Linked DNA regions of Danio rerio. The protein of the gene in region 4 interacts with the protein of the main gene of each other region in a biochemical or structural test. Links are inferred from orthologs where the notes say so. Each region holds a gene or a part of one and is shown on either strand. Other genes may lie near its edges.

What was found.
Region 1: the proteins of dlg1b (region 4) and kcna4 interact in a biophysical measurement, tested with the Homo sapiens proteins (2 studies listed by IntAct, with this or other methods). The link is inferred for Danio rerio from reciprocal best matches to the Homo sapiens genes DLG1 and KCNA4.
Region 2: the proteins of dlg1b (region 4) and htr2cl1 interact in a test that uses a peptide from one of them, tested with the Homo sapiens proteins (2 studies listed by IntAct, with this or other methods). The link is inferred for Danio rerio from reciprocal best matches to the Homo sapiens genes DLG1 and HTR2C.
Region 3: the proteins of dlg1b (region 4) and evi5b interact in a test that uses a peptide from one of them, tested with the Homo sapiens proteins (2 studies listed by IntAct, with this or other methods). The link is inferred for Danio rerio from reciprocal best matches to the Homo sapiens genes DLG1 and EVI5.
Region 5: the proteins of dlg1b (region 4) and crhr1 form a complex in vitro, tested with the Homo sapiens proteins (3 studies listed by BioGRID and IntAct, with this or other methods). The link is inferred for Danio rerio from reciprocal best matches to the Homo sapiens genes DLG1 and CRHR1.
Region 6: the proteins of dlg1b (region 4) and tanc1a interact in a test that uses a peptide from one of them, tested with the Homo sapiens proteins (2 studies listed by IntAct, with this or other methods). The link is inferred for Danio rerio from reciprocal best matches to the Homo sapiens genes DLG1 and TANC1.

What each region holds. Positions count from the first base shown.
Region 1 is NC_133182.1:32,645,639-32,651,772, forward strand, and holds the start of kcna4 (potassium voltage-gated channel subfamily A member 4), read right to left. Parts: upstream 3,332-6,134; 5' UTR 3,157-3,331; exon of another isoform or gene 2,853-3,156; intron 2,517-2,852; 5' UTR 2,044-2,516; coding exon 40-2,043; 3' UTR 1-39. UniProt on the Homo sapiens protein: Voltage-gated potassium channel that mediates transmembrane potassium transport in excitable membranes. Forms tetrameric potassium-selective channels through which potassium ions pass in accordance with their electrochemical gradient.
Region 2 is NC_133182.1:23,439,860-23,445,215, reverse strand, and holds part of htr2cl1 (5-hydroxytryptamine (serotonin) receptor 2C, G protein-coupled-like 1), read right to left. Parts: intron 3,786-5,356; 5' UTR 3,592-3,785; coding exon 3,198-3,591; intron 1-3,197. UniProt on the Homo sapiens protein: G-protein coupled receptor for 5-hydroxytryptamine (serotonin).
Region 3 is NC_133181.1:31,512,643-31,517,082, forward strand, and holds the end of evi5b (ecotropic viral integration site 5 protein homolog), read right to left. Parts: intron 3,753-4,440; coding exon of another isoform or gene 3,744-3,752; exon of another isoform or gene 3,721-3,743; coding exon 3,448-3,720; 3' UTR 1,827-3,447; downstream 1-1,826. UniProt on the Homo sapiens protein: Functions as a regulator of cell cycle progression by stabilizing the FBXO5 protein and promoting cyclin-A accumulation during interphase. May play a role in cytokinesis.
Region 4 is NC_133177.1:5,302,550-5,308,694, forward strand, and holds the start of dlg1b (discs large homolog 1-like protein), read right to left. Parts: upstream 3,335-6,145; coding exon 3,233-3,334; intron 1-3,232. UniProt on the Homo sapiens protein: Essential multidomain scaffolding protein required for normal development. Recruits channels, receptors and signaling molecules to discrete plasma membrane domains in polarized cells.
Region 5 is NC_133178.1:20,402,475-20,408,348, reverse strand, and holds the start of crhr1 (corticotropin-releasing factor receptor 1), read right to left. Parts: upstream 3,637-5,874; 5' UTR 2,783-3,636; coding exon 2,759-2,782; intron 1-2,758.
Region 6 is NC_133181.1:12,998,549-13,002,729, reverse strand, and holds the end of tanc1a (protein TANC1), read left to right. Parts: intron 1-1,158; coding exon 1,159-2,335; 3' UTR 2,336-3,064; downstream 3,065-4,181. UniProt on the Homo sapiens protein: May be a scaffold component in the postsynaptic density.

The DNA.
Region 1 (6,134 bases), on a different chromosome or scaffold from region 4:
GTGCAGTCATCATGATGAAAGGTCATCGTTCTTCCATAATCATACATCTGTCTGTAGGGTTCGTGAATGTGAACTGTTTTTCCCGCCTAAGTCAGTACCGTTCCCTCTGCTCGGGCTCTGCGTGTCACCCCCGCACAGAGATTCCGTCACGCCCTCCTCCATCTCCATGTACTCCGCAGCCTTGTCACCTAAAGATGAGCCCGATGGGGACCCCTTGAATTTTCTCAGGAAATCCGGAAAGTAGGGGCAACCCGGTGGGGGTTGTTCCACGGCGGGCGCCTGGTCCTCGTTATCAGTCTCCCGGTGGTAGAAGTAGTTGAAGTTAGACACGATGACGGGGACTGGAAGCGCAATGGTCAGGACGCCGGCGATGGCGCACAGCGAGCCCACGATTTTGCCCCCGACCGTGATGGGCTTCATGTCACCGTAGCCCACCGTGGTCATGGTCACCACAGCCCACCAAAACGCATCTGGGATGCTGGTGAACTGTGACGTGGGCTCGTCCGCCTCTGCGAAGTACACCGCGCTGGAGAACAGGATGACGCCGATGACGAGGAAGAAGATGAGCAGCGCCAGCTCTCGCATGCTCGCGCGTAAAGTGTGCCCGAGGATCTGGAGACCTTTGGAGTGCCGAGACAGTTTGAAGATCCTGAACACCCGGACGAGTCGTATTATTCTCAGGATGGCGAAACTCATAGCCTGTTGCCCGTTGCCTTGCTGCTGTGCGAGATCTGTGCCCAGGGTTATGAAATAAGGCAAAATAGAGACGATGTCTATGGTGTTCATAACGTTTTTAAAGAAATCAGCTTTACTGGGGCTGGCGAAGAAGCGCACGATGATCTCAAACGAGAACCAGATGATGCACACTGTCTCCACGATGAAAAAGGGGTCGTTGAATGGCGTAAATCCATTGTCTGCCTGCGTGGAGTTTTTACCTGGGATGAGGAATTCTTTGTCGTCCCTGAATTCTGGCAATGTTTCTAAACAAAAAATGACTATGGATATGACGATGACCAGCACTGACACGACCGCGATCCCTCTGGCTGGACTTGAACTCTCCGGGTACTCGAAGAGCAGCCAGATCTGACGCTTGAACTCGTCCTCGGGCAGCGGCTTCTCCTCCTCCTTCACAAAGCCCTCATCCTCGCGGAACTTGAGCATTGCCTCATCCCCGAGTTCATAGAACTTGACCTCCTCGGAAAAGATGTCAAACGGCACATTGACGGGTCTCTTTAAGCGCCCCCCTGACTGATAGAAGTACAGAATGGCGTCGAAGCTCGGTCGGTTTCTGTCAAAGAAGTATTCGTTACGCAAAGGGTCGAAGTACCTGCTTCTTTTCTCGGGGTCTCCCAGGAGAGTGTCCGGGAACTGCGCGAGAGTCTTCAGCTGAGTTTCAAACTTTAAGCCCGACACGTTGATGACAACTCTCTCGCAGCAGCCGTACTCATTGTAAACGTTTTCATACCCTGACTGAGGACGTCTGTCCGTTAACGACACCGTCTCCTCCTCATCATCCATGTTATAGACAAAACTGGACCTCTTGCTTTTCCTGTCCTCCTCTTCCTCCTCGCCCTCCGCCTCCTCCTCCTCCTCGATCATAATGTCCTCCTCGGATCCTAGGAGCGCCAACTCTGATTGGCGTAGATCCCCGCCGAGAGCCGCGCGGTTCCGTCTCCAGCGCGCGACGCCTCTTTGCTTTTTTCGCTCTCTGAGAAGTTGCTGTGGTGGCTCGTGGTGTTGCTGCTGCTGCTGCTGTTGCGGCTGTTGTGAGGAGGAGGAGGAGGAGGGGCGCGAGGCGGTCCCGGCGCTACTGTTGTTGGCATTTGTCGAAGAGGCGGCGCGACTCTGATGCGGGTGGTTGTGGGGATGGCCAGTGGACCCACCTCCCTCTCCGACCGCTCCAGCTTCAGCTGCTGCCGCGGCCGCTGCGCGAGAATGCCTCTCCCTCTCGCGCTCTCTCTCCCGGGCGCGAGCCTGGGCATATCCATAGGGCAGGTGGGTGTTGCAGCCCCCACTGTCCGCGCCCACCATAGCAAACTCCATCTTCTTAAACTACGAGGCGTTCAGAGTGATGGAGAACGAGGCTGAGCGATAGACGGGCTCGGCAAGTTCATAAATGCGCTTGACTGGCAGTGTAGGTCCGCTGCCTTCGAAAGTGCTTTCAGCTCTTTCAGTGCACTTTTACTTGTTGTAATCGGACTTTACAACTGTAACGAAGCTACGTGCTTCTGGTGACATCATCATCATCATCGTAATCATGAGTAAAATGTGTCCAACAGTTCTACAATCCATGCGCGTGGCGCGCGCGGCTGCCTTATCCAACAGAAAGCTGGATGCATGAGGAGAGCGCGGCTCCTTTCCGTTATCCGAGGTGTTCGCTCACCGACTTTATTCGTCTATGAAATCACTGGTTCCCATCTTGGCTGCGAGGGAGGGGTGGGCTGTAGGTTTGTTCCGTCCTCTGCCCCTTCAGCGGCTATGAATGAATCACTGGATCCGCTTGACACCAGCAACAGCTGTAAAGACAAGAAAAACGTGTTGTAGAATGCAAAGTGCTCAGCATAATTTAGCTCAGGCACACTGTGATGGACACAAACACGAGCAGAACATTTTGAAAAAAGTAACCAGGGACCTAACTCAATATCTTTGTGCTGCCTGCATAAGAATACAAATATTAACAATGACAATAACGGGGCGCATCCTTATTGATACAGGCCAGCCAGGCAGGAAAACAGGAAACAGCGCGTGATATTACTGATCCAAAAGCCCCTGACAATTAATAATAATCAGTCATCGCACGCAATTTAACATCCTTCTCATGCACTCCACCTTCCATCATTCGAGCCACTTACGTAGGGAATGATACGAGGAGGTCTTCTCCGCTTCCACCCTCAATGCAACAAGATAGAGACGGCTGAGGATGTAAATCCCAGGTTTGTCCAAATTTCCCTCTTGCACTGGGAATCCAGATATCCATCGACGTAGCCAAACGCAGAACATGACACCTCAACAGTCAGGTGAGATCGCATTCGAGGGATGACAGTTTTGGCCGCGGCTCGCCGTTGGCTCTTTATTCAACAGGATCTCTCATCACCTGCCCATCTCCCCCTCCCCAAAAAACATGCACCGCTGCATTAAGCCTGGACTCACACTCACCAAAGATCAGGTGCTGCTGCCGAGAGCATGCTGCGTGGCTCGATATATCACACGAGCGGCGTCAGAATCGAGATGTATCAAAGTTTTCGGATGCCATGTGAAATAGCCTTAGGTGGGTATGCGCAGCGCGCATCTGTCTGCCGCTCAGTCTCGCCCGTTGACCATTGTGCTCGTGTTATTGGGGAGCTGCGCTCCGCCGCGAGAGGCACGTTTGCGCAGCGCGGAAAGTCCTAGATCGCCCCCCAGTGGCGACAGCAGGCTTACCGGTGTGCTGCAGATCTCAAACTTCGACAGCCCCTTATGCATCTGTTGACATCCAGTTCATCGCAACAGCCTACCCGAGGGACTGCTGCATAGCGCGAGCTGCACACACTATGCAGCCTGTGTGTGGCTCTGTCAAAAAGACACAGACACTTTCTATCACGGCCAGTTTGTGTATAGCCATTCTTTGGAAAAATGTAAACACGACATTAAAATGACAAACGTGATTGTGTCGTGAGAGCTCTGCACTTTACTCAACGATCTATTAAACAAGCAAGCGTTTACACAAAGAGCATAAATATTCACCTCTCTTAGCACAGTCATAATAGGGATTTCAAGAGAGTCCAGGGACTCCGAATGGGCAAAATGGAGTTGGTGGGATTTTGATGTTCAGTCAAGTTAAAATACCGACTCAATATGTTTACATTTTGTTTATTATTATTATATTTTTTTGTGCATTTATCATAGTTTGAAATGATGACTGTTCTTTCTAATCATGAGAGATAACATTAGATTAATCACAATTTTGGTAAAATAGGCTAAAACCTACATTAAATCTGCATCTTTTATACTAAACTAAAACTATCTATTTATTTATTATGGGTTATACATCTAGCATCTCTTGACTGAGATGATGAAATATGCTGCTAACTTACTGGAAAGTGAATTTCCATCAAAATATTTCAACACGTTGATCAAAATATAATCGCTGTGGGATGTGTGAACATTAAACTGTTTGAAAGCAGCTGGTTTTGCACTCAGTCATGAAGACTGGTGGAGCTGTAAAAAACAAACCAAAAAAAACATGGCCATTAAGATGATTTAAACTGCATTTTAAACTCAAAATTGGCTTTCAAAAGTGCTTAATGCTTTGAGCTCATATTCTGTTGGTATGAAAGCAAAATGCAAATGATTACTCCCACTACGCCACCTGCCTGTTTTTCCCGGCACTCGATTTTTTAACAGAAGGCTTTAGAAATCCAGTTTCATCAGCAGCACTGAATGCTTTATAGTTATCACCTGAAAAACACATCTTTTACCTTGCACAGAATTGCTCAACAAAGCCAAGGGTCTAGCTGACTCTCCAGCGAATGTGTGTGTATGTGCTGTCAGAATGATTGTGCTGTTTAATTCAGCTCATTAGTAATGCAGGAGACATTGTGTTTGCTCTTGTTTAAACAGTTTGCATTGACCAACCTTTACTACCCTGGCAACCGTGCACTGACATCCCACTGTTTAATTATTCAAATAGCCCACCTCCATAAGGAAATGCAGCTTGTTTTGGCCTTAGCTTTTGTTTTTGTCTATGCTTGTCTTTTCTGTATGCAGTTGGCACTAAAGAGAATAAAAGGGGGCAGTATTTCACAAGATAGCACTGCATTATTGGTGGGCAAGCACACAGGATGGCTGCTCTTTATGTGTAGAGAGTAAAGATTGTGATTGTAGTGCGAAGGTTGTGGGTGTGGGATTGGATAATGGCTTATAGTTATTAGGATAATGGTGCCGACTGCACTGTAGGCCAGAAATGAGGCCTTGAATGACGGTGGCACCAAGTGCATCAAGACTGGAGGAAATGTGAGAATTACTGGGCAAACAGAATCAGGCAGTCTCTTTTTTGGATGCAGCGGTAAGAGTGTAAAGGCAGATTTATTCGTCATTAAAAAAACCTTATTCGGATGGGCTCTTGTCGCAGCATGATAAATGAAGGTCAGTGGGTCATTTTGGACAATTTCCAAGATTTGTACAAATCAGGAGTCAATGACTGTACAACCTTCAAAAGCAGTGGAAAGAGACTGGGGGCGAACATGTCTGAAATAAGAGCTTTCTTTTGTCAAGGTTGCGCTGCAGCTGGAAAGAGAGGAGACAGACAAAGATCTATAAAAGATAATGAACAAAATCCAAATGAAAATCTAGAACTCTTTATAAACTTTTAAACAGGTAGGGATTGAGGCAATAATGGCTATAGGCTTGCTGCTGTGAGGAATGAATAGTAGAATAGTTCTGTCACCGAAGACTTAAAAAACTGTCAAATGGGCTCAGGGAGTTTTTTTAAAGGTATATATCACCCAAAAGCTGCCATCATTTATACTCAGCCTTGTTCAAAACATATTTGAGTTTCTGTTTCTTCTGTTGAATGCTGGTAGCTGGCACTCATTGACTTCCATAGTATTTTTTCCCTACTATGGAAGTCAGTGAATACCAGCATTATTTAAAATATCTTCTTTTGTGTTCAAGAGAAGAATGAGGATCATAAAGGTATCAAACCACACGGGACTGTACATTTTGAAGTAATTTTCATTTTTGGGTGAACTATTTTCCTTTAGGGGATTTTAGACATTTTGTTGATGATATGTGACAACTACTTCAGCTAACTATCATTAGAGAATTACTGAAGTATCACATATATTATAAGAATGTCAAGTAAGTTGGCAAGTTCTTGCAAAGTTACTTATGGTCAATGTCCATAAAGGAACCAGCTAAATAAAGTATAAGCAGATATTATGCAGACAGTCTGCTAATACTTACAGCTAGTTGAGCAGTTAAAATACAGTACCTGACAAAAGTCTTGTTGCCTATCTAAGTTTTAGAAACAAATAATAACTTGACGTCTAGTTCATTTGAGCATCAGAAGATCATTTGGTATCGGAAGTGGCTTATATGAAAGGCAAATGCCTATAGAATACACTCAATTTACCGAAATAAAATATGATCATGCC
Region 2 (5,356 bases), on a different chromosome or scaffold from region 4:
AATGCAAGACAAGCTGCTGTCTCTTTCAATGTGCCCCCAATGGCCTCTCTCTCGCTCTCTCTCCGTCTTCTTTCTCTCAAAGACTCAAAGATGATATAATGACTAAGGCCACTATATAATGACGATGGACACTGTACTATCCCATGAGGCCACAGGAGAGAATTTGTGAATGGCAGAGAAGTGATGGTCATGTGACAATAAATGGCAAAGGCAGTACAGTATATCCACACATTAATCATTAACACACATGAATCATATTCAAGATGGCTTCTCTTTTGATGGTAGCAAAATAATCAGTTATTTAAAATAGATCTACTCAAAAAGTGTGTGATTGCAAAATAATTTAAAAAAGAATAATGTTCGGATCTGTGTATGAGCAATTCAGCTTGTCTTCAATATGTGGCAATATGACCTGGTGAGGTTTCAATGTTACCTCTTGTATCAATTATATGTTACTATATTATATTATATTATATTATATTATATTATATTATATTATATTATATTATATTTTATTATATTACATTACATTACATTACATTACATTTCATTATATTATATTATATTATATTATATTATATTATATTATATTATATTATATTATATTATATTATATTATATTATATTATATTATATTATATTATGTTAATAATGTTTACCAAAGATTAACTGCATCCAAAATAAGGTTTTTTAAACATATGTTTTTGTTTTTTAACATTGTCAATAATTTTTGTCTCTTACACACATATAATTTATATCTAAATATAAATAAACAACTTCTCAAATATATGCATGCCTGTGTGTGTATGTATATATACACATGAGAAATATGACAGAAATAGCAGTGCGATGTGGCTGTATATTGGCACTGGTGGGAGGTTTGCGTTGGCACCGGTGCTGATATACAGCCATTTTGCACTGCTACTCATGTGATATTGTGTTTACAACAGTTTAATGGCATAATCATGTATATAAAAAAAGAAAAACCAAATACGGAGAGTTTAAAAATCCTTAGGTATGAGGAATTACCTCCGCCATTCCCTCACATCTACAGCTGATGCCAGAACAGCAAAAGCTCTTGCTATTTCACACACACCACTTTAGAGCTAGTATTTTAATGATTCACTGGCGTACTGTCTAAAGTGATGACAAGATAGGCGATTTTAAGATTATAAGAATGAAATGCCATCAGTCTATAGAGATTTCTCAGTATTTCTCTGTTGAAATCAGGATATCACAATAACCTGAAAAAGTTACTCAGGGTTATACAAAGAGGGGCCTGCATAAAATACATACATTCTTCATAAGCAAGTCCCATCCCACACTCAATACACTACAATTACATTGTATAAATACAGCAGTACATCATAGAAAAGAGAGAGATAGACTTAGAATATTACTTACCTGATTTATAATGATTTGATCAGCTGTAGTTAGAAATTATGCTGTTTTATCTTCTAAGCGCTTATTATGTGGTCTCTGTCACCATCTTGTGGATGGACAACATCAACTGTCTTTGGTCTGTTCAATGACAGCCTAATGCTAAAAAAGCCTCAAAACTGCATTATGTTAAACCTTTTTTTTTCAGCAGTATTCATCAAACAGTAGTGTCCTCTGCTTGTTGCTGCATGTAGGCTAAGTAATACACAAGGGTGAATATTCTTGCTTAGGGTTCTTAGAATTGTAAAACCAGATCTGGGGATTCACAATTTTAGGAAGTGGAAAAATTAATTTGATCATGAGTGGATGACAATAAATATGTTTGTTAATAGCAGTCTAAAACTTTTTGAGATTGTCCAAATATCTCCACCTCCTCACTCTCTCTTGCTTGCTTTGCTTTGTCTTGTTCTGGGAAAAGAGGTTTCATGTTATACCCTGCTATAAAGCTATTAAATCTCACCACCTCTGGTTCTTGGCTTTTCTAACTTTGTCATTGCTCTGTGCTATACATAATTACATTCATGTAACGACTAAATCAACCTAAACCCCTTAACTTTCTTCTTCATCTTTTTTTTTTTAAATAGAAGTCATCATCTCTTGAGTTTTGGAGGAAAGAGACCAATTAAATGTGTTATTTAACCGGCATATATTCTATGGTGTCATTTCTATAATGAGCCATGTTATTTAGAGGAGAAACCCTCACACCAGTGGAAAAAGCCCCTGGGTCTTAAAGGGAAATGCCACTAAAGTTATATTATGGAAAGTGTGACTTCTGGTGATGCTACATTTTATAGGCGATGTGCTGCATTATTTGAAAGTTTGCATCTCATTAGACACTTAGAAGTCACTTCACATTAGGCTATAGACCAACCTATTTAAACGGTACCCACAATGCATCAAACCAAAGTTGTGAATCCTGATGGCATCCAAAAACGCACCACAATTTCATTAATTCTAATGGAGGCGCGCATCTTGCATTCATATTCAGAGCACATAGTACGTGCGCTCGCATTTTCAAGACGCATCAGTTGAAAACCAAGAGTCACGCGAGAAGAACTGACCAATCAGCTTCATGCTTTGTATGGAATTTACACATTTCAGTAGACTAATTACTTCAGACAAACACAGACACTGCAGTGCTTTTGCATACTATGAATGTCAGTGGTTAGATTTATCCAGTTTTTCCAGGTTCCTCCCTGGATTTTGCCTACCCAAATAAAAAAGTTTCCCAAATCCACATGCAGAGGTGTTAATGCAACAGTTTGGTATCATTTTTAAGAAAACCCTTTGAATTTTCATAAAACACTGGTGAAAGTTATTCAAATATGTGTGTATGTTGTCTGTGTTATAACAAACCCCATTTGAAAGTGTACCCTTAGGTTCTGTGTGGTCTAGGTTGCTATAATTAATTTAGGTGGTTCCTGCACATATCAGTAATGAAAAAAAAGAAAAATGTCTCTATCATAATCTATGCAAAAGATATACTATAAGAGCTGCAGTTTATTTTGTATTTTTATAGGTATATATATATATATTTTTTAAAGTAACTTCAAAGTAATGTAATTAGTAATCTGATTACTTTTTACATTAAGTAGTTAGTTTCCAGAAGTAGTCAGTAATTTGTAATCTATTACTTTTTTAAAGTAATTTTAAAGTAATTTACCCAACACTGGTTCTATCTTGACTGAGAAATATTTAATCTAATACAACAAATTTTGCATGTCATTTATTTTTAAAAAGTTAATGTGGTAACTTACCATATAATATGTTTATGAGAGATATTGGCATGACCAAGATGCCAACCAGCATGTCTGCCACTGCGAGTGAGCGGAGGAAGAAGTTTGTTGCATTTTGCAGCTTTTTCTCCAGCGACACGGCCAAAATAACCAAAATATTCCCTCCTATGGTCAGAATGATAATCACTAGAATCAGCAGGGCCGGCCAGTTCTTCTCCTTCATCTCCTCCCTTTTCACCCCATGAGGAGAAGACGAAGAGGAGGACGACAGATTGAAGCTGTAGTCTGTCCCAAAGAAGCTCTGGTTCAGGCTGACCGTGGTGTTCCCAGGCCAGATCATCCAGCCAACGAGGTCTAAGGAGGATGTGGTGGAACTAAACCCACCCAGAACTGGCCCACCAGGTGCCCCCATCATCTGATGTCTTTCCCTGTCGCCTGTTTCAATATGAGCTCATGGCCGCTTATGGGAAGAACAGTTTTGTAAGTTAAAAAATGATACAGCGATCCACTCGAAATGCTATGTGAAGGAGAAATCTACAGCGCTGAGGATATCCATAGCATTTGTTGTTGCTGCTTTCTGGCTCAGGATCTTCTTCATGGAAACTGTATCTGCAAAACACAATGAGAGACACACAAAAGAGGAATGAATACCAAAATATATTTAAAGATGATACTCTTACTATCACAGCTGCTCTGATTCAATAATAATAGGAATCTATGGCACAGAGAATAGAAGGAATATTTACAAAACATCTGACATCTGACTGACAGCACTGGGGACTTAATTTTCAGCCGTCAAAGGGAAAATATCTCCATTGTAAATTGGAGGATGCACAAATGATCAGGTTTGGAAAGATCCATTCATTTTTGGTCAACTGGTGTCACCGTGTTCCTGTGGTAATAGAGGGTAATTGAGTTTAAAAGTTAAAATGATACACTACAGTCTGAATCTCTGCGAACCGGCTTGTACTGGCTTATCGAAAGCTGTAATTCACCAGATCGGCGGCTACTCGTCATTAAATTAGCTGGTATTAATAACTCAAGCCACATGTCAGAGGTAATGTGATGTAATGTCATTTTTTTCATGATGGGCAAGTGGGTAATTGTCACTTCATAAAGTCAGTCACCAAACGATGGCTAATAACCTTCGGTAATTGCAGTCTTCACCCTGTCGGTTATAGGCTGTGCGTTATAGTTGGTGTGGACTGATGGCATGTAACGTGCGTGGGATTACTAACCATGTATGCTTAAATTAAAAGAAAGAAGAAGGAAATGAGCTTTCTGTAAGGGCTTTTCCTGGAAATTATATGTGATATCATCAGTTCAATCTGCTAAATACAAGTATAAATCAGGTTTAAAACCTTTAGGATGGGCACACATGGGGAAATTCTGATGGTCAGAAGATCGTATAGGCATGTGCGTCATGTGTAAGTTTATTTGAAAATCATTCAGACCCAATGACATACAACACGATTTTATGATATTGTGAATTCTGAAGCAATTACATGAAATTACAAGCCAAAAAACATGGACATAAACACTGCTTTCATTTCACCTGATCAACAACTGTGTGTCTGAATTACATACTGTAGTGGCTTATAACCAGGTACACTGTAAATAGTTTAAGCAGTTAATGAATTAAGCAAGTTTATTAGCCTGATTGGCTAAGTTCAAATAGATTGATGAAGGAATGAACAATCGATTGAAGGAAGGAACAAACGAACAAAGTACAAACCGCAACCATGCTACCATAAATAATTGCCACATGACTTCCCTGTTGAAAAAAAAACAAACATTTAAACAAAACGTAAACAAAAATTGCAGCTTGTACATCAGTCTTTAGGGTTTGTACACTTTTGACCAGTTCCACATTCCAAAAGATGGTTCTTTGTATATTGTTTAAACATAGTAACAGTTTTATAAATAATGGTTCAGTCCTGAAGAATCCTTTCATGCTGTAATAATTCTTTGTGTCAGAGTTTCTTTTTCCGCCTTTTTTTTTCAGAATCAGCTAACTGTCAAACCACCTCACTTGTTTCTTTAACTTTTAAATAATAACTTGGTTTCTACCAAACTTAAAAAACCTCATTAATGCCTAAATTTCCATTTTAAAGCATGTTACATTTTTTTGAGAATTAAAATATTAAACAAAGAACCATTTTTCTAAAGCTGGATTTATA
Region 3 (4,440 bases), on a different chromosome or scaffold from region 4:
ATCTACATTATCAGCAAGATGTTTGCATGCAGGCTACACATTTAATTGACTTGTTTCATTAGTTTGTTCATTAATAAAAATTATCAAAGCAGGCTAAAACTTATTTTTGTAGCCTTGAAATAAAGCTGTCCACACGACAGCGGGTCACGGTGTTCTCGAGTTTCGTGGCTTCTTACTGAACAGAGCCGCCTTGTTCCGAGGACGCTGGTGATCTGTCGTGGACACAACAGGGACACGCATTCAGCTCGTGCGCCAGACAATCAGTGGAAGCCCGTAGAGCCACGCAGTCCATCAGTCTAGCCTCACCTGTCTTTGACTCGTGACAGCCACTCAGCCAGTCTCAAATTAATCGCTTCACTTCACTCACATCGAGCGCATTAGCGTCTAGCTATCATTGAGAAAGAAAAAGCAAAAAAAAAAAAAGGCTATAAGTTTATGAGTTACCGCTTCAAGTTTTCAATTCTTTTTTTACGGGTGTAGATGTTTGATTTATTTGTAGTTGTAGTTTGTATAGCTTTATAAAAATTAGCACGATACAGAATATCTGATAAACTGATGCATGCAATCGCAAAGTGCAGGATCCATCAGTAGGCTACTGGCCAAAAGAGAAGCGCAGGAAATCAAAGCGCAATGTGCCCCCTTCGATTAGACACCACATCAGGGCATCCGGCAGATACAGTAGGACAGAGATAATGAAGGGCACTAGGAAAAAATCTTTACTGATTTTACAACATTATCTCACATTTACTTTGAGACTGATTACTAGACATATGCAGTTACAGCATATTAACCCTTCCGCAACGAGATAGACATGTATAATGCATTGCAGAATATTTACTTAAAAGCTGAAAGCGAAATGAGTAGCCTAATTTCAATAACAAAATTAAAACGTCGTTTCCACAGAAGAATGTTGTGTATCATTATAGACAGGGTAACTCTCAGAACAATATAAGCAAATGTGAATAAAAACAACAATACCAATTCCGACCGTCTTACTGCTTCCTTTTTTCTGTAGCTGTGTTTTCTGTGGTTTTATTCCACTACATGGGATTAGAATAATTACATAGGCTTTGAAACAATTAATTGGCTATAGGCTACCTTTTCCAAACATGTTATAGCCATCCCAAGATATTAATGCCGCAATGTTCTTCTCAAATTTTCGTAAATATATATAGTTGACAAATTATTAAATGGCATCAAAGAAAAAAACAAGAGTTGCAAAAAAAAAACATTTACAAATTGCACTGGCACAATGGAAAGATAAATGATATAATGAGGTTATATGTCTAAGTACATGAAACGTCATGCTCAACTGGAGACAAGCGAACTGTGATTGTGCTTAGCGAAACTCAGATTTTAGAATTACGGTTTACACCAAATGACTTTAAATTTAACGAGGGCTCATAAGCCGACTGAAATTACGGTACTCACCAGAAAACAATACGAGTTAAGATGATTTTAGTGCAGTCGCGGTGTTTCGGTTGAATTCAAAGAGCGCAGAGCCCATAACATCTCATTTCATCTTGTGCTAGTCTGAGCGCGAGAATAGGCGCGCGCACACATAAAAAAAAACTTCCTGAAAATGCTACTTGTCAATAGCAATCTGATGTTAGAAGGGCTTTTCCTTAAGAAGCTTTTTATTACAGTTTTGTAAAATTGCGTTAGTCAAAATGTAAAAAATAAATAATGATGATGATTGAAATAATAAAATAACTAGCTCAAAGATTAGTGCGCGTTTTAATTAATTACTATTAATTAATTGATTACAGTTACTATCAAGTGAATGATACATTTTTAATGTAAAAAAAAAAAAGCAAAAAGATGAATTCAGTTTTGATCAATCAGTTTTATTTAGCTGTTGCGTGGAACAAACGTACAAAACATGACAGTCGTTGGCCACTATCAAATGATATTTTATTGTGTTCTGAATCAACATGTCCATCGTCTTAAAGACACTTTTATTGTATTGTCAACTGTCTGTAAAGCCTCAAATGCCCACAGGAACATTCCACAGGAATTCACTGTAAAACACTCGATCTTTCTAAAGTAAATAAATAACGCTTTAATCACTTAGTGTTTTGTCTTTTGCAATTCCTTTCGCAAAAGTCTTTGTTTTGTAGGTGGACAGGCCGTTTTTAAACGATGGGCAAACAGTGCACCAAATTTGCATCCACCATGATAGGTTTAAGGCTTACACTCAGGTGTCTAAATAGCAGTATGAAATGAAATCACTTCATACTTTGAGAACCACTGGCTCACAAAAACTAACCAAAAAAGAACAAAAAAAAATGGAGGGTGAAGCTAAATTAAATATATCGCTGTAAACAGCGAAACATAATATTGTTCATTATTGTGAAGCCATATGCATGTCATCTGTGCAAAGTGCAAACTGATTCAGAAGCAAGCTGGTACAAATAAAGATGTAAAAAGAAAAACGGACCAGAAAAGGCCAGAGAAATGAGAACACTGTTCTGATGAACACACCTCTCTGCCTCCACTTCCATCAGTTTGGAGATATTCTTGATATATAACATGCACAGCATACCACATATTGTAGAAAATATTGAAAATCAGCAAGAATTTTGTAGAATCTTTCCAGGCACAAAAACAAATCTCCAGTCTGTGAAATGGAGAACTTGACTACAGCAAAGCTACAGTACATTAAAGAAAAGTTGTTTCCTCCAAATCCTCCCAAATTCAGTAATACATCCCTTTCAACTTAACTATACAATGTGTTACAATATAGACATGATATCCATTGATTACACATGTTCAAGTAATAATGGAGATGGGCAAATAATCTAAACATATACATATTTACATAGACGCTGGTTCAATGACTCACAATTCATGACCAATAACAATTCATGCCAGAAAAAAAGGCCTGCTAACGTAAGATATGACACCGTGCTATTAATGAAACAATTTAAAGATGATAGTGTTGCTTTCTTTAATATGTTTCCCTAAAAGTTATGCGCTCTCTGGTCTCTCAATGTGTGTATGAAAAAAAAAAAAAAAAAAAGATGATTTAAAAAATAAAATCTATAACGATGCAAAATCTTAATGCTTAAAACACTATAGGCTATACCAAGTTGCTTCTCTTCATATGAAAAAAAACCTTGGAGTATTAAAAACACCCCCTTTTAAAGTTCTGGGAATATCCTGCCACAAAAATGATGACTTCTGCTTAATTGGAAGGATCTCAAAGTGCCTTAACAGACAGACACATTTGCCCTCTTTATCGCGGCTAAAATTAAAAACTACTGCCAGGACAGACATCTGATGTATTTTGGCAAAAACAAAACAAATGCAGATGTAAACCATGACCTTAAGAGATACGATTCCATTAGTAAAGATGAACGATGGCTTTTCAAGTTCAAGTCCCATGTTCACATTGAAAGGACGAGCTCATGGACAAGCTCTCCCTCCGTTCAGGCCTTCACAGTTTCACACTGTTGTTGTCTTATGGCTGACATTTGAGGGCACGGTAAGTCGTAGGGCATCTCCTTCCTCATCACCCTCACTTTCGGAGTCCTCCAGGTTTGGATGTAGTGTGATCCGGCCTCTATCCTGATGAGTGGTCAGGTGGGGTGACAGCTTCACTCCATCTTCATCAGAGGACTGGTAGGATTCATTGTCTCCACCATAGTGATTGACTATATGAATCCCATCAAAAGTGTGTTGGTTTGGTAAGCCCTGATGCCCTCGCAAACATCGGATCTACGAGCAGAGCAAAGAGAACGTCAGCGCAACTGAAACTTTAACACCTCAGACATTTTGCTTGACAACATGCAAATAAAAACCAGGAAACTAGGAAAGGTGAGAATTGCAAAACACGCACACAACCGTAAAGGTAAACAAGCACACAGAGTGGGATGATGGGGCCAGAATGTCAAATAAGACAGACAACAAAATCTCACAACAAGTTTTCAACGTTTAAAATTCTGGCAAATTAGGGGCTAATTGAAAGGATCTGATTTGTATGTTTGCATGTGATCAGGATAGTTCACCCCAAATTGTCTTTTTTTCACTCAATTAAACCACTTGATTAATACTGATCATCTGTTTTTTTCTGTGATTATATTTTTAAAGATGGAATAGAAAAATATTTTCGATTTAACTAAACATTTATACATTTGGAATAGCACAAGAGTAAGTAGATTGTGATACAATTTTCATTTGTAGTTGAACTAACCCTTTAAGTTCCGTTTATATTTAGGGGTTGGACATTCATGCGTTCATTTTTTTCTTTCTTTTTTAATGAATTTCAGTATAAATTCATTCAAAATAGTCTTCTTTTATAATAGCAGTTGTCCTTTGACTGTGATGACAGGAAGTAAATTAAGTATTGTTATCTTTGAGTTAGCTATTCCTTTAAAAACAAGTAACGAAACAGAAGAGAGTTCAAAGAAACCATCTGTCATACAGTGGATATGGAAA
Region 4 (6,145 bases):
TTAAAAGAGAAAGAGCTCCAAAAGGAAAGAACAGCATTAAAACCAGCAGCCACTTCTACAGTTGTTAAGAAGTTTTCACAGAATATCTTTGGAAAGTTTTGACATGCTTTGATATAGTGAATCTGATCTAGAACTATTAAAAATAATAATTGTTTAACAATTAGGGTAAGACTTCGGAATGAAGTTGTACAACATGAACAAACAATGAACATTACAGTATTTATTTATCTGTGTTAATGTTAAAGTCAATGAATGCGACAAATGATTAACTATAGTAACTTAAAAAATGTAAAATTATAGTAACTTAAAAAATAAATTATAAAAAACTTTCAAAAATGCTGTACATGTATTGTTATCATGAGTTCATGTTTGTAAATACATGATGGTAAAGTGTGACCGTAATTAGCTTTTATGAGCTCATATTATTATGAGTTATGGTAGTGCATTGGGTACATTTGAGAGCTGTTGGTTCATGGTTGGTTCATGTTGGTTCTGACCTGGGTCATGCCCTGATCCTACTTACCTTTCTACACTTGATCAACCTAAACATCTAGACGCACGCACACGCACACGCACACGCACACACACACACACACACACACACACACAGACATAGACACAGACACACACAGAGACACACACAGACACACACAGACACACACAGACACACACAGACACACACAGACACACACAGACACACACAGACACACACAGACACACACAGTAAGTAAACGCCCAAAAGAAAGAACTTAATTAGCATATCGTCACCTTAGAATTATATAGTTCCATCTGACATTTTTGTCAAAATTGTGTTATTAACATATTCTTATTAAATGACAATGACTTATTTACATTATGGGATGTTTTTTTATAAGTTGTTTACATTTTAAGACTTTTTATTTACAAAAAAAATGTTACACACATACTGTTTGCTATGGAATGCAAAAACTTTGATGCTCAATATCTCAAAATCATTCAGAATGCAGATAGAACCTTATCTATCTGACGATATGTTCCCCAATAGCCCTTAAATTGTCTAGAGAAAGACAAGCTGTTGGTTCATGGGAACCAATTCTGGCCTGGGCCATGCCCTGATCCTACTTACCTTTCTACACTTGACCACCCTATCCATTTAGTCAAACACAAACAAGAAAAAGCCTAAAAGAAAGAACTTGATTAACACACCTTCCCCTATACCCCTTAAATTGTCTAAAGAAAGACAAGCTATTAGTTTATGGGAACCAAGTCTGGCCTGGGTCATGCCCTGATCCTACTTATACTTCTACACTTGATCATCCTATACCAGGGCTATTCAATTGGCAGCCCGTGGGCCGAACCTGGCCACCGAGGCAATTTATTCTGGCCCTCCAAATAGTGCAAATAAGACATGAAAAATAAATGTAGTTAATTCGAAAAATGACGCTATAGTTATGAAGTGACGTGCGCCAAGCAAGTGGGGCAAGCAGGATGCAATGATTAGCCGATTTCACTATTAACTGCACTTGAATTCGTCACAGTTAATTAATCGTAAAGGCTTGTCAACGCCGCATTTCTGTTGCATGGAACGAAACGAAACTGCTGCAACTAAACCAAGTTATGTCAAGTTGTCAACTGTGCACTAGTTTAAAGTTCCATGTATGTACACCGAGGCTAATACGCACTCACCGGATTAACTATAGCAGTGGCCAGTCCCATAACAAGTCTTTTCAGCTTGCAAGTTTGTTATTTTTAATGTAATAATATATGACAATATGTGCGCACAAGCGCAGCAACACACTTGCGTCTTTCTGGGTGCACACAGTAGAAAACATCTTACGGTGAGAGTTGTGCGTGCCTTTCAGTGCAATGTTAACAACATATATGTTAGACGAGTTATTATTAAAATGATTGTGCTGTATGTATGAACGCAGAAGGCAACAACGAGCCTGATCTCATGAGAAAACGTAAGTATTTTACGTTTTCCCAGTTTAGTGGCTAATTCGTACGAATTCGTACGAGTTCAGTCGTATGAAATGGTACGATCTTAAAAAGGAGGCGTGGCACCTAACCCCACCCCTAACCCCAACCGTCATTGGGGGATAAGCAAATCGTACTAAATTGTACGAATTAGAAAGGATGAATTCATACGAATTAGCCACTAAATGAAAAAGTTACGAATTGCCGTGAGATAGTGTTGCAACAACAGTTATTCTAAATAGCTACTTACCTCATATAAAGCTTGAATTTACATTAGACGTGATAACCGTGAACCCATGATTATTCTTTAGACTATATAATCGTACAACCATAATTGTGATGCAGTTTAAAAAAATAAAACATGAATGTGTCTTAAAGTAGAAAAAGCCTACTTGAGCAATGCACTGCTTTTGCTGTGCTCTGATATACAACATTTGAACATGTTTGTAAACAAGAAAAGTCTATTGTACAGTGCACTGATATTATGTAGTTTCAAAATACAACATATTCATATTTTAATGTAGAAAAAGCCAACGTGGGTGTCTTAAGGAGAAAATAAACAGCATATGGGCTCTTATATGCAGTTGTGTTATCACTCATAAAGCAAGTCATATCTCTCCGGCCCTTCATTTGGGATGCTTTTCATGAACCGGCCCCCGTGACAAACTAATTGAATAGCCCTGTCCTATACATTTAGTCAAACACAAACGAGAAAAAAACCTAAATGAAAGAACCTAATTAGCACACCGTTCCCTACACCCCTTAAATTGTCTAAAGAAAGACGAGCTATTAGTTCATGGGAGCCAAATCTGGCCTACTTATATTTCAACACTTGATCATCCTATACATTTAGACAAACACAAACAATTAAAAGCCTAAAAGAAAGAACCTAGCTGTCCTAACCTAACATAAATTGTTTAAGAAGAGACTAAAAGGCAATAAATCTGCTGTACGCCAACTCTCTTACATCTAGAAGACAACTCCTCTCATCTCATCAACTTTTCAATTATGTGTGCCTTAAAAGAAATTCAGTCCATGAACGTGTTATGCCAGATCTCTCTGCAAGAATAAGTCTACTTCTGAAGTCTGCTAGATCTCGAAGAGAACTCTTATCTCATCAAGTTGATTGCATGTGCCTCGGGAGTTCCAACTGGCAGCAGTACCAAGCATTTTGGCTGCCACTCTTGGCTACACCTTGATGTAAAGCTGGACAGACTCTCACAGACTGTCCTGTCCTGTGAATTAAGCGAACCTGAGAAGCAGCTCCACCACCCACCTTGCATCCGAACATGAGTGAGATGGTGCTGTTGGTGCAGGCCACTTTGCAGTGGCACAGCATGGGCGAGAAGCAGTCCAACTTCTTGATGCTGGGAGACATTTTCTCGCCGCTGTGGCAGCTGAGCCGATCAGCCAGCGAAGAGCCGGAGACTCGCCGGCGCGAGCGATACTTGCTCCTGCCTCTCCGGCCACCTCCTGCTCCTCCACCACCACCTCCTCCTCCTCCTGCCCCTCCACTGCTGCTGCTGCTGCCCGCTCTCACCATCCACCCTCATTCCTCGTCTCACTCCATCACGCCAGGGAAGGGACAGCCAGTCTGCTTCCTTCATCCAGCGAGTTTGTCCACACGCCCCCTTCTCCTTCACCGCTGCTCCGGTCTTCCTCAGAGCCTTTCGTCTTCTGCTTCACTGGCTTGCGAGATCCGTCCCTCCACCTTTCACAGCTGTGAGTCACGGTGGAGATGTTTGCACGGAGGCCTCATGCCGAGTGCATGCATCCGTGAAGGAACAGCTTTCGGGACCTTTTGGTCATCGCCAAGAAGACACCACACAACTGCTGCGTTCCCCCAAAAGGGAAGGTGAAGAATGCCACAGTTTGAACAACGCAGCGAGTTGTGAGGAGAACGCGGGAAGAGGAGGAGAGCTGTGAGGGGAGGGAGGGAGGGATAAAGCTGTTGCAGCGCGTGGGGTTTGTCACATGGACGTCGAGTTGGGTTGAGTCTCTCTCTCTGTCTCATCCTCGGCGTGGGTGCTCTACGTCACCCAATACATTGAGGGGAAGGCAAAAAAATAAAAAGCCAAGGCAGTAACAGTGAGATGGAGAGGAGCAGCAAATGAACATCCTCAGGGAGCACAGCCTCGCATGCAGGAGGAGGAGCGATGTTGGAGTGACTTACAGCACGTTTGCACAGTGGAGAGAAAAGGGGGAGGGGAGCGTCGAGCCTGGCCAATAAGATGACGGAATGTCATTGGCAGCTGACTGGACAGTGGATGTGACCTTCTGAGAATGGCTCCATTTCTTGATGGGATCCCTACGGTGGAGAGAGTGAGCTGGCAGAAAGATGCTTAAGCTTAATTTCTCCATTACTTCTGATTTGATTAGGCCGACCATGAAATGGTCACATAGGACAAACCGCTCGGGTCACTGGCTTTTAAGGGGCAGTGATGTTGGGGGAGGGTCGGCAATGACAAAGATCTCTGCCGTGACTTTGCTTTAGGAAATTTTTAAATCAGCAGTCAAGCTAAGAGGGATGTGGCAAAATGCTGCCATACTCGCTAATCTAATCCTCACCGCTAATAAGATCCTGTTCTCGCACAGCGTGCACATGCATCTGCTATATTCTGCCAGTGAGGCAATCCTCAAGGCCATTTAATATTAAACATTTTGGACATTTTAGTTACTTCTCTCATGCTGACCTACATAACGTGCAAAAGTCAAAGACTCTGAGCCAGTAGTACTACTAACGTCAATTACCCCTATTTTACGTACAATACTTGGGTTGTCAGTGTGCCTCACTGTCCAAAGTGTGACTCAGATCCTGCCGTTCTCGTAATGTATGCGTCACTCAGCGTGCAACACGACTAACACTGGCTAAGTCCATTCAAGGATCATCCGAATGCTCGTATGAAGCATCACGAAAACGCTCATGACACGACTGCACGGACATATAAATATAGTTGGTCTTACTTTAGAATACTATTTTTGTGGCAACAATTTCTCAATGAACGTCACAGAGTCATGAATCTGAGAAGGGAATAGAGTCAGTTTCACAAACAAGGTTTAAGGCTAGTCGAGATTAAATTGCATGTTTGAGCTGTCTCAACTCAAAATAACTTTCAGAGAGATGTCTTAAAATCTGTCAGTGTCATTTTTTTGTCTCCAGGCGCACTCCAGTAATATATTTTTCTAAGGCCATTTTAATAAATGTGGCTTAAATAGCCATGGTCCTGGCTTACTCTAAGCCCTGCTTGTGAAACTGGGCCTTAAAGTCTTAAAGGTGTATAGTTCTTCACCCATCAAATTGGCATACTCCAAATAGAGCTGGGCGATATGGCCAAAATGCAATCTCTGTAATTATTTTCCATATTAAACGATAACGATATATTTTGATATTAGTTGTTTAATGATTTCAGATTCAAAAGAGTACCCCAAAAATGACTGAAGCCAAAAAAATTAAAGTTCCATTAAATGGTATAACATGCACTGTAAAAAATAAACGTTATTTTACTGGTAATTGTCTGTATTTTTTACGGAATTTTTCAGTTTTTTCATTATACAGTGAAATACCTGGTGTTTTAAAGATATGTTCTATAAAAATTCTAACATTAAATGTACAGTTATTGCTTGTAATTTGGTATTACAATATTTTTCTGCTTTTTAAAGGAAATTTTATGTATTTTTTAGAGAGTAACACATAACTTTACGTTAACACTTACAGATTATTTCTGGAAAAAAAAATAGGAAAACAAAAATATAGTCAAACTGTTCTTAGTGAAGATAGTAAACGTATGAAGATTAACAAGAGGTTAACAAAGTAAAATAATAGCCTGTTGTTTGTAGGCTGCATATAATGCATGCACTGTAAACTGGGAGATGTTTATTTTACTACTCTAACAATGTTGTTATGCGGACTGTGACAATCACCAGTGATCTAGCGGCTGTGGGTTGCTGGAAAACTACATACGTTACTTTAACGAACTACAACTCCCAGCATGCACCTCGCACACCCGGGTTCCTAATTCTGACTGATTACACACACAGTCAGAAAATCGTTATGGACTGATTTCAAAGACTTTAAACTCAGCACACACACACACACACACACACACACACACACACACACATCGTTTCTCAGTCTTAAAATGTTTAGTTAGCATTACGACGCAATTTCCCTTACCTTGCCATGTTTGAA
Region 5 (5,874 bases), on a different chromosome or scaffold from region 4:
TTCAGCATTTCTTTTTTTTGTTTGTTTTTTTTAGGACAACAGTATTTCCAGCAGAAAATATATCTAAATATGCCATTTTAAATTGTAAAGAAATCTGTGTTTTGAAACTAATGAAAAGAGCAGTCAATGATTTATTTTTTATTATTCAGTCTGCCATGTTTACTGCTACAAAATATTTCAAATGTTTCTCAAAGTAAAATATATATTGTGTTTAAAAATATATTGTGTTTTTTACCAAGACATTTAAAAAGAATATATTTTAGAGCAGTAATCACAATAATGTGAAATCGTTATGTTTTTATCCAAGGTTATCATACCGTCAGAATCTTATACCAGGCCATGCCTAATCGTGCAGCCCTACTACTGAAAATAAGCTGTTATCACCCCAAAAAATAAGCTCACTGATATGTCACTAATTTTAATTCCTAAATATTTGCTGTGTCATGATTACATAACCTCAAATTATACACAGTAAAAAATGGTGGGTTGCACACAATTAATTTGTGTTGGGACAACATAAAGATATTTAGTTAACATATCAGTTTTTACCAATTTAAGTGGATTGAACAAAAACCAATTAAGTTTTCCCCAAACACACTCAAGAAATCAGTTGTTTTATTTTAAATAAATTATGTGAACAAACAGCGTACTTTATTTTTTTGAGTGTACTTTATTTCCTGAACAATCCCTGCTTGATATCTTTTATGGCATGTGTAATGTCAGACGACGATGTAACTTTTTGAACAATCACTAGTTACTGCGTTTAATTACATGTGTGATGTCATTGAGAAGGAGGGACAAGCAATTGTTTTCCTGAAACTAGAGCATAAGCACACAATGTCTCCATTGGAAAGCCACCAGAAATAAAAGAAAGTGAACAACAGTAAGTGCGCATATAACTTCATCAGTCTTTCATTTTGTCATCTTGAAGAACTGAAGAATTTCTCCTTTTGGTCATTGTCACATATAAGACAAAACCCTGTCTTTATTAATTAAAATAATTAAATAAAAAAATGTTAATAAAATCAAAGGATGCAGGCACAGCGCTGATTATCATCCACTGGGAAATTACTGTATATAAGATTAAATTATGAAAAATTACCATTGTTGTTTATAAAGCACCACAACACCCAGATGGATTGTGGCAAAATTTAATTGATGTTGTCTAAACCAGGAATGAATCATTCTTTCAGTTTAAGGAGTAAAAAGCAGATATCGCTTTACTTAAATACCCAGCCAGATCACAGCAAGCTCACCAATGTGCTGATGCAACGCAAAGATGAATATAAGTCAATTAGTGCTTGTATGAATTCCTAATTGCTTTTCTGCACCTCTGCCAGCCACGTGGGACGTTTCACAACTCTGGAAAAGCTGCAAAGCAAAAATCACATTACCGTGTCTTTACTCAGTCAGTATTTCTAAACTTTCATAAAATCAATCATCACTCAAATGGTTTTTCGGAGGAAAACACTCTCTGCTCCAGCTGTCCACAGTGCTGAAAGTGATAAAATGCACATTAATGGTAGCGGAAAGCTTGTATGTTTTGACTGTCAGAGTTTCAGCGCATTACTTCATAATGGTGCCAGACTGGGCCACGGTCCAGAGCAGAGACTGATAAACTCGCTGCATCCTATTTGAGGCTAAAAATAACAGCTCTGTTCCTCTTTACCTTTAAGTGATGTCATTTCGCATTATTTCGAATCTATGATATGCTTGTGATGCTGTGCCAAGCTTCTATTATAAGCTGAAATTGACATTCTTTAAAGAATGTCTTGCAGCTCAGCTGAGGACTGGCAGGGGATTGTGTCCTGTCCCTGCTTGTATTTACTGTCTACAGAATTCAATAGCACACCCACACACTGCTGAGTCACATTGGCAATGATCTCCCTCGTGGAAGGATTGTCATTAATTACCTCCACAGCTTCCCTTAAAATCTCAGTGTCAGGCAATAGTTTAATGACACCCATTAAGTGCTACTCTGCGATAAAAAAAAAAAAAAGTGAAAGAAAAAGCACAGTAAAACTAGAACAAAAACAGCTTTTTAATATACTGTCACTTTCAATAGAAGAAATTAATTAAATTCCAAACACATTTGGAAATGTTTTAACGACAAAAAAGTTTTTGAATATCTGGTTCAACTTCCAGGAACAAAATGCTTTGCAGTCACTTATGATATTCACAGCTGCATATATTATTTAGACTGTAAGTATACCAATATACTTAAAGCATTAAATCTTTTTGTTTACAAGATGCTAGCACCAAACCCAGGTGTTGGGTGATACAATGGAAAAGTAACACGATGTGCTGAATAAAAACTAACCTCTATTCTATAGTAACTGTCAACAACAAAGTGACAGAGCACAGGGTTACTCACACAATACAAAACACACTATTAAAGAATATTGCTACAAATACTAAAGACACAACAAAAACCGGAACGCACAACTATTAACAATTTAACTTTTTAAATGAGACCAAAACACACTGGCACTTTGCACTTAAGGTTCTAGGAACTCTACTTAACAATAAACATGATTTTAATAATAATGATGTACATGTTTATGTTCTTCTCCCATAATTTCAATAGTTTTACAACACAATGCGGTCTTCTACCATTTTTACACCATAGCTAGTTAACTAATAAGCATATTAAAGTTAACCAATTAAATGTTCTTGAGTTTTAGTTCTTGTAGCTTTTATAACAAACAACATGTTTCCAGTAAAGCTAAAACACGCTTTGATGGGATAATAGTCGTACCTGTGGATGGAGGATGCGACTCATTGCTCCAGTGTGTTTTTCTGCAGAAACCTTCAAACAGCAGAGCGCTCTCGTGCTCCAGATGCAGCTGTCCGGATGCTCTGCTCCGGGGTGACAGACCTCTGCTCGAAAAACAATAGATTTGCACCCCGAGGATGATCAGTGCAGCATTTACAACTGGAAATCAGCAGGGCGAATTATGCGCGCATTTGAATCGCTGCCTCATTTTCACCCACTTCCAGAGGAGTTATTATTAATATAAGCGACATATCCTTGTGTTTCGGGGTATTCGGTGGACACTTAATCCTCAATAAACAATCTTCTGTCGAGTTTGACTACTTAAGGTCCTGGGAGGCAGGTGTAAAGCGCTTCAATCACGACACCAATCACGCCCGACACCCAGTCAGTGTTTCCAGATATGATAAGCGTCTCGACCTGCTCCCCTGCGGCTGGAACTGAACTTTTCCAAAAGTACTACCACAATTTTAATCTCGTTTACAAAATTATCCGTTCCTTGTTAACACGGCGGATCCTCTTCACGTTGCGTCCTCGCACTGACTGACCCTCTGTTTGAGTCCCATCGGTCAACGGTAAAGCGTTCACACGAAGCCCTACATGACAGCGAGGAGGCGTCACTGCGCGCGGATAAAAGGAACAGACGCTGAGATTTTGCGCGCGTGCGGGTAAAATGTAGTCCGAGAGAAAATGTGACAACTGTAAGAAGTCTAGCTGACGCGCGAGCGGAGTTCGCCGGTGCAAACTAATCCGTGCCGTTCCCACGCGGGCTGCGCGTCTTTAACCAAACCGGCGGTTCACTGTTTAGCGCGCGCGCTCCGCAGCGGCATGAGACTCAACACCGAGCAGCCTTCATAATGAGTGAATTCCATTCGAAAGTGAGCATCACTACACCCTGTTCAGTCTGAAAGGGGGAGCACTCGAAGAGAGTAGACTCTGAAGGGAACAGGGCGCATTTGAAACACATGGATATGTGTCTACGTCACTGGCACTTATTTTCATCCTAAAGTTATGATGTGAAATCAACATTTTGATGCCGTAATGTTTGCGTAAAAGATTTGTCCTTAAGGTAATTTGCAATGGTGTACGCTGATTTTTTTTCTTTTTTTTTTACAGATTTAAAAGTTTTGTTTTGTAACTATTTGGGTTGCATGAGATTAAAAAAGTGTTTGAATAAAGAAAATGCCATGAAGTAAGTTTGAATTAGCACATTGATTACAGTCAATGCATTATAGATGCACTGATTGAGTTGCATAACCCCTCATTCACTGTGTCTTAAGCGAATGGGTTGTCATGCAGAGATAAAACATAATATCAAATCTTTAATATGAAGTTTCATCTGAAGGTTTTCTAAAATGTTTGAATGAGAGGTGACAGGATATGCCAATTTGTCTCAATAATAGGTGCCTCCAGTATGAAAGAGAGCCATTATCTACAGTGGTGGGGTTTTGTCTCATTTATGGACAGTGCATTCAACATGAACATTCACACTTTTGTATGGCTTTGGAGAATGCGATCTGTTTGTCAGTATGCAAAGCAAAAGTATGTTATTTAGCATAAGTGTAATTTAGAAAAAAATTGTCATCCCATTTCCCCAGGGCGAAAAGTGCTTATTTTGGCTTTATACTTTATGCAACGCTAGGGAATCATATAATCCTTTAGCTCTTTTTATCTCTCGATCCATCCAGCTCTCCGTCTAATGATCCTTCTAGTGCAAAGAAATTCTGGACAGTTTTGTCTAAACAATATAGCATCAATTAGGTTTGTTACATACTTTTTTTTTCACTAAAACATATATGTATACACACACACACACTACATCTTAAACTCATGGTGAACTTTAGTTTTCAGTATTGTTGTTACCACTCTTATGTAAAGCTGACAGCACAGCAAATCCTCCACATGTATTTCCAGACACTGTCCCCTTTTTAGATTTAAATTTGTTTTCAGGGTCAGGAATCGCAGCAAGTCCAAGACAGAGGTGTCGAAAAGAACAACTGGCTATATTCAATCATTCTCCATATCGCATTAATGCAGGTCTGCATTCTAGTTGCTTTATAAAGACACAGGAAATGATTCAAAATGCACGACCCTCCACAAGCTGTCTGAGGTCAGCCTGATGATTCAACGTGTGTTTCATTATTAAAATTGTTTACCGTGTTAAAATGAACTGCAGCTCGTACAAATATCTGTATTGCAAGATTGATTTTTTTTAAAACTTAGAGTTAGAGTTTAACCAAATGTTGTGTATGATATTATTTCTTTTGTGGAACACCAAAGAAGATATTTTAAAGAATGTTTGAATTCTTTTTCTTTTTTTGTTTTTTTTTGTTTTTGTTACAACAGTGGACTTTCACTAAACAGTTTTGTTCAGATAAAATAAATAAAAGCACTCAGCAACGCACAACAAGTAAATAGTGAAAATTTAACACTGGATTAAATATTTTTTTAAAAAGTAATATCTTCCAATAAACAGACGATACTTTAGAATATAAAAGTAATGAACACCAAAATTTATAAGTGTTTTATTGCATATAATTATCTATTGTATCTGCCACCTGCGTACAGTAAATCTCATGTCATGCTGTCAGAAATCCATATATATTTTTTCTCTTACACACTTTCCAGGAGAGCCATTCAAGACAAAACCATTCATTATGACAGCACCTGCAGTGCCATACGTCTCATTTTACTTTATGGCATACTGTCAGCTCTGCAGTGACATATTGACATCAGTTATGATGGCGCACTGTGCACTTTCGACATGTTGTACGTGACTTATTCATATCGCCACTAATCGTCACAGGGGCATTTCCGAACAGAGTCAAAATGGTAAGGGTGATCTTGTCCTCCCAAAGGGAAATGTCCTTTTAGCCTGACTGAATTTAAGAGCAAGCTCTAAAAGCAAGCAGGATAGGCATTATTGATATAGACGTATGCACTTGACAAGATCAGATTCTGTTTTCCTTTTAGGCCTGGAAATGAGAGTTGAACTCATTTTTAATATGTTGAGAAGTGATTTTTCTTTATATCTGTTCCATTTACTGTTTATTTAGGAAATGATTCAGCCCACACACATGTAATTGAGTGGAGAATATTTA
Region 6 (4,181 bases), on a different chromosome or scaffold from region 4:
ACGGCATCTGCCTTGCGTATAGTCGTGCATGTATAGTTCTGCACGCTGTTTGTGTTGCTCTGCATTAACACATCCAAAATGCTAGCTGGCAGCAGGTTTTTAGGATCCTCTATAGAGGTTTTTGCAGGTGTTTTGTTTTTTATAAATGTTACCTTAATCTACAAGTAGATAAAACTCGCTCTTTCAGAGGCGGGAACTGGCAAACGTGCAACAACTGTAATCATAAGGTAAACACAAAACAAGTTTCCATCTGGAGCTCCTTCGAAGGAGTCAACGCTTGTAAACACTCGCTCCATTGGGCTCGCAGCTCTCAGTACTGCCCACACTCATCACAGCTACTAAGTTGACCAATCACAAAGCTTGCACTACGTGTGGTTACGATGCATAGTTCCATTTTTTGAGAGGTGCATGTCAGCGTTGGCATCAGCCACGGCGAGGGTTATGCAAACTGTGTGAAGGCTTTGCCGGATCATACGAGTGCGCTTTACACAGAAGTAAAAAATCAGCCTCGAGCCCTGACTCCACAGGCCAGGCTTTAGGTTGGGGCCTTGGTTGCACCATAATTGGGGCAACATCTCAGTCTTCCATTTTATCAAACTCGTATATTGTAGGTTTTTGAACCACACTTAGTCTGGCCTGTCGCCCAGAACCATTTTACCTTGGGAGATCCTACCAGGGACATTCAGCCCCCAACAACATGAGCCCTAAAAATATTTAGGCACTCAAACTCCTCCACCATAAGTCACTGCTCCTCCTCATTAAGAGAAGCCAGATGAGGTGACTCTGGCATCAACAATTGATACCTCCTGGCCACCTACTGTACCTGGGGAGGTGGGGGAGGCCCAGGACATGCTGTAGAGACTATTCTTCCTGACTAACACTTTAGTTAAATGTACAGCTGATAAGAAGAAAAACTGTTAAATCCAGCCTACACTAACCCACTTTCTATTCAGTTGCAAGACGGCACCAAACAACCAAGAACAGTGGCTTGGAGAAGCATATAAATATAGATCAAGATGATTTGAAGTACCCAGATGAGCATGTGTTACTGGTTTCAATGGTTGTTGTGTGGGAATAATATTCCTAGAAATGTTCCAGAGTGCGATGTAATAATAAAGATGAAATATTCATCCGTTCCTCTGCTTTTCTCTTTCTCAGGCAGTTTGCAGCCGCACTGGCTGATCTCTATGAAGCGGCTCGTCTGTGTCCCAGTAACCGAGAGATCAGACGTCTGCTGGCACGAGTGGAGGAGGAGTGCCAACACCTGCAGCGGCAGGGCTCTAAACACCCGACCTCTCATGGCAACCCCTCACACCACGAGGACGACAATGAGAACGACGACGAGGAAGATGATGATGAGGTTGAAGATGACGACCAAGACATTGAGAGTTTGGAGAAAAGCCCAGACAGTCTCAGCATAAACATGTTGCAGGCAGATGATGAGGAGGAGCGGCGTGAGCAAGAATCCTCTCGGCAGGACAAGAGGAAGGAGAGCTGGCATCAAAGCCGCACATTACCTGATTCTCTCTGCCTGGCGTTATCAGATGCCCAGTCTGCCATCTCCACTGCTGCCCCTGGACGGGTCGCACACAGGCGCCTCCCGTCCAGACAAGCTCAAAGCATGAAGAACCGAGAGTACAGCAGTTCACTACATGCTGAAGGCAGGACGCCACAGAGCGCCGGCTCCAGCCCGATGCCAAGCCGGCACCGACCAACCTCACTCAGAGCAGGGCCCTGCATTGACATTGGTGGCCTTGACAGAAGTCCACTCGGTGATGCCAGAGAGGGCGGCATTCAGTTCAGTCTCGCAGAGAAGGCAGAAATCAACATCGAGCCAAGAGAGTTTTGCAGGAGCAGCAGTGTAAGAGTCTCCAGCTCCTCCAGCGGGAATCTCACAGATACCAGCCGATTACGCAATTCCATGGCAAGCGCTCCAGATAGGCAATCTGAGCATAAACCACGGCCCTTCATGGGGGTCATTGACAAAACTGCCCGTTTCCAACAGCAGCAGCAGCAAAGTCATCACGGCAGCCTGGTGTCCAGTTACGGGTGGCCAGAAGGACTCGTAGGCCACAATGTAGGTGTTGTAGTGAATACGCACTCGCAGGGACTGACTAGTGACCTTCAATACTCTAAATCGAGTGCTTATCAGGAGCCCATCCACAATAGCACACTTACAACTGAATTTCATTCTGGAGCGGGATATAAGGACACGAACCCTCTCCAGCAGCACTACAATGACACCAAGCACAAGCAGGCCAGCTTGGCCCGGGACAACCCCATCCTGATCAGCTCCATCAAGCCCAAACGCTCCTTTATTGAGTCCAACGTGTAGCTACCAACTCATTCTTTACCTTAAGCACAAATTATATACAATCTTACGACATAAATGTAAGGGGGCTCAGTTGAACTAAACTGAAAGGATTTGTTCCAGGTAGGTGAACATAAGATTGCCTTGCATTTCTGTTTACAGCTTCAGAGGTATTTAAGCACATTTTCAATGCGCAACGCTGCATCTGCACATTATAGGAGAGTGGAAATATGATAGAGGTGGTTTATTAATGTATTAAGATACCTGACCTGGCTTTAGACTTCAATAAGGACATAGGACATCTACCAAAATGAAACACTGTCTCTTACAGTATGATTGTGGGCCAGTCCTGTGTATTCAGAAAGCATATGCTGTTTGAATGGTGATGAGTGTGTGAGTGTATGTATGTATGTGTGTGTTTCAAGGAGAAGCGTGTTGTATTTCTTCCTAAACTACTCACTGTTTGGATTAATTTATTTATGGCTTGGTTGTCTGATTAAAACAATATTATATTTTATATATTAGTTATTTTTGCACAGCTATATATTATGAAATACCACTATGATTGTGAGGACGACATGAACTGTATAAAGGAGACCAGGTTTACATGCATGTTATGGTGAACCATATTCAGGTGTCTATAAGGACATGGATGTTATTTCATTATTTGCAATTTATTTTATGTATAGGGCTGTTATGTATTGTATTTGAATATTTCAGCATCATATACAATAAACCCCAGTTTAAGACTTAGGTTACTGTTTTATTACATTTCTCTAGTGCCTTATTTTTATCCAAAGAGATTATTACCCATTCTTAAATGTTTATTAAGTAGTTTTTTACATTAGGAAGTAAACTGTCAGGTTTTTTTAATGTGATCCATATGGTGTCCATTAAATCATTCCTTTTCCTTCGGCTTAGTCCCTTTATTCATCAGGGGTTGCTACAGTGGAATGAACCGCCAACTTATCCAGCATATGTTTTACACAGCGGATGCTCTTCCTGCTGCAACACAGTACTGGGAAACATCCATACACACTTATTCACACACATACACTACGGTCAATTTAGTTCATTCAATTTACCTATAGCGCATGTCTTTGGACTGTGGGGGAAACTGGAGCACTCAACTCAGAAATGCCAATTGACCCAGCCGGACTAGAACCAGCAACCTTCTTCCTGTGAGGCAACAGTGCTAACCACTGAGTGCTTATTTATAAACTCTATTTTGCAACATCTCTTGAGATGACATAAGCCACTACAGAGGGTTACAGAGATGTCTTAAAAATATGACTATTTTACCTCAGTATATTCAATGGAGCTTTTGCGCTAGACTGCTGATTCTTACGGGCGCGTGCGAGTAAATGGCTTTTTGTCTTGTTTTACGCTTCAACAACTAAATGAATGACAAAGTCTATTTAACTGAACAAATTTAATTTACATTAGAACATCAAGGGACTGCATAAAATGGAAAAAAGTTCACATTAACTGTTCACCGGGAGTTTATCAGCATGGGAAGAAACACTAGCTCTGCATATACCCTATTATACATTGACGATCAACAATTTTGTTAATAAATCTAATTTATAAAGTCTAATTATCTAATAATACTAATTTATTAATTAAATATATTTAGTTTTTTTTAGGCCGTCATGGTGGCGCAGTGGGTAGCACGATCGCCTCAAAGCAAGAAGGTCGCTGGTTCGAGCCTCGGCTGGGTCAGTTAGCATTTCTGTGTAGAGTTTGTATGTTCTCCTCGTGGTCACGTGGGTTTCCTCCATGTGCTCCGGTTTCCCCCACATTCCAAATACATAAGTTATAAGTGAATTGGGTAAGCTAAAGTCTGTGTGTGAAGGAGTTTGTATGGATG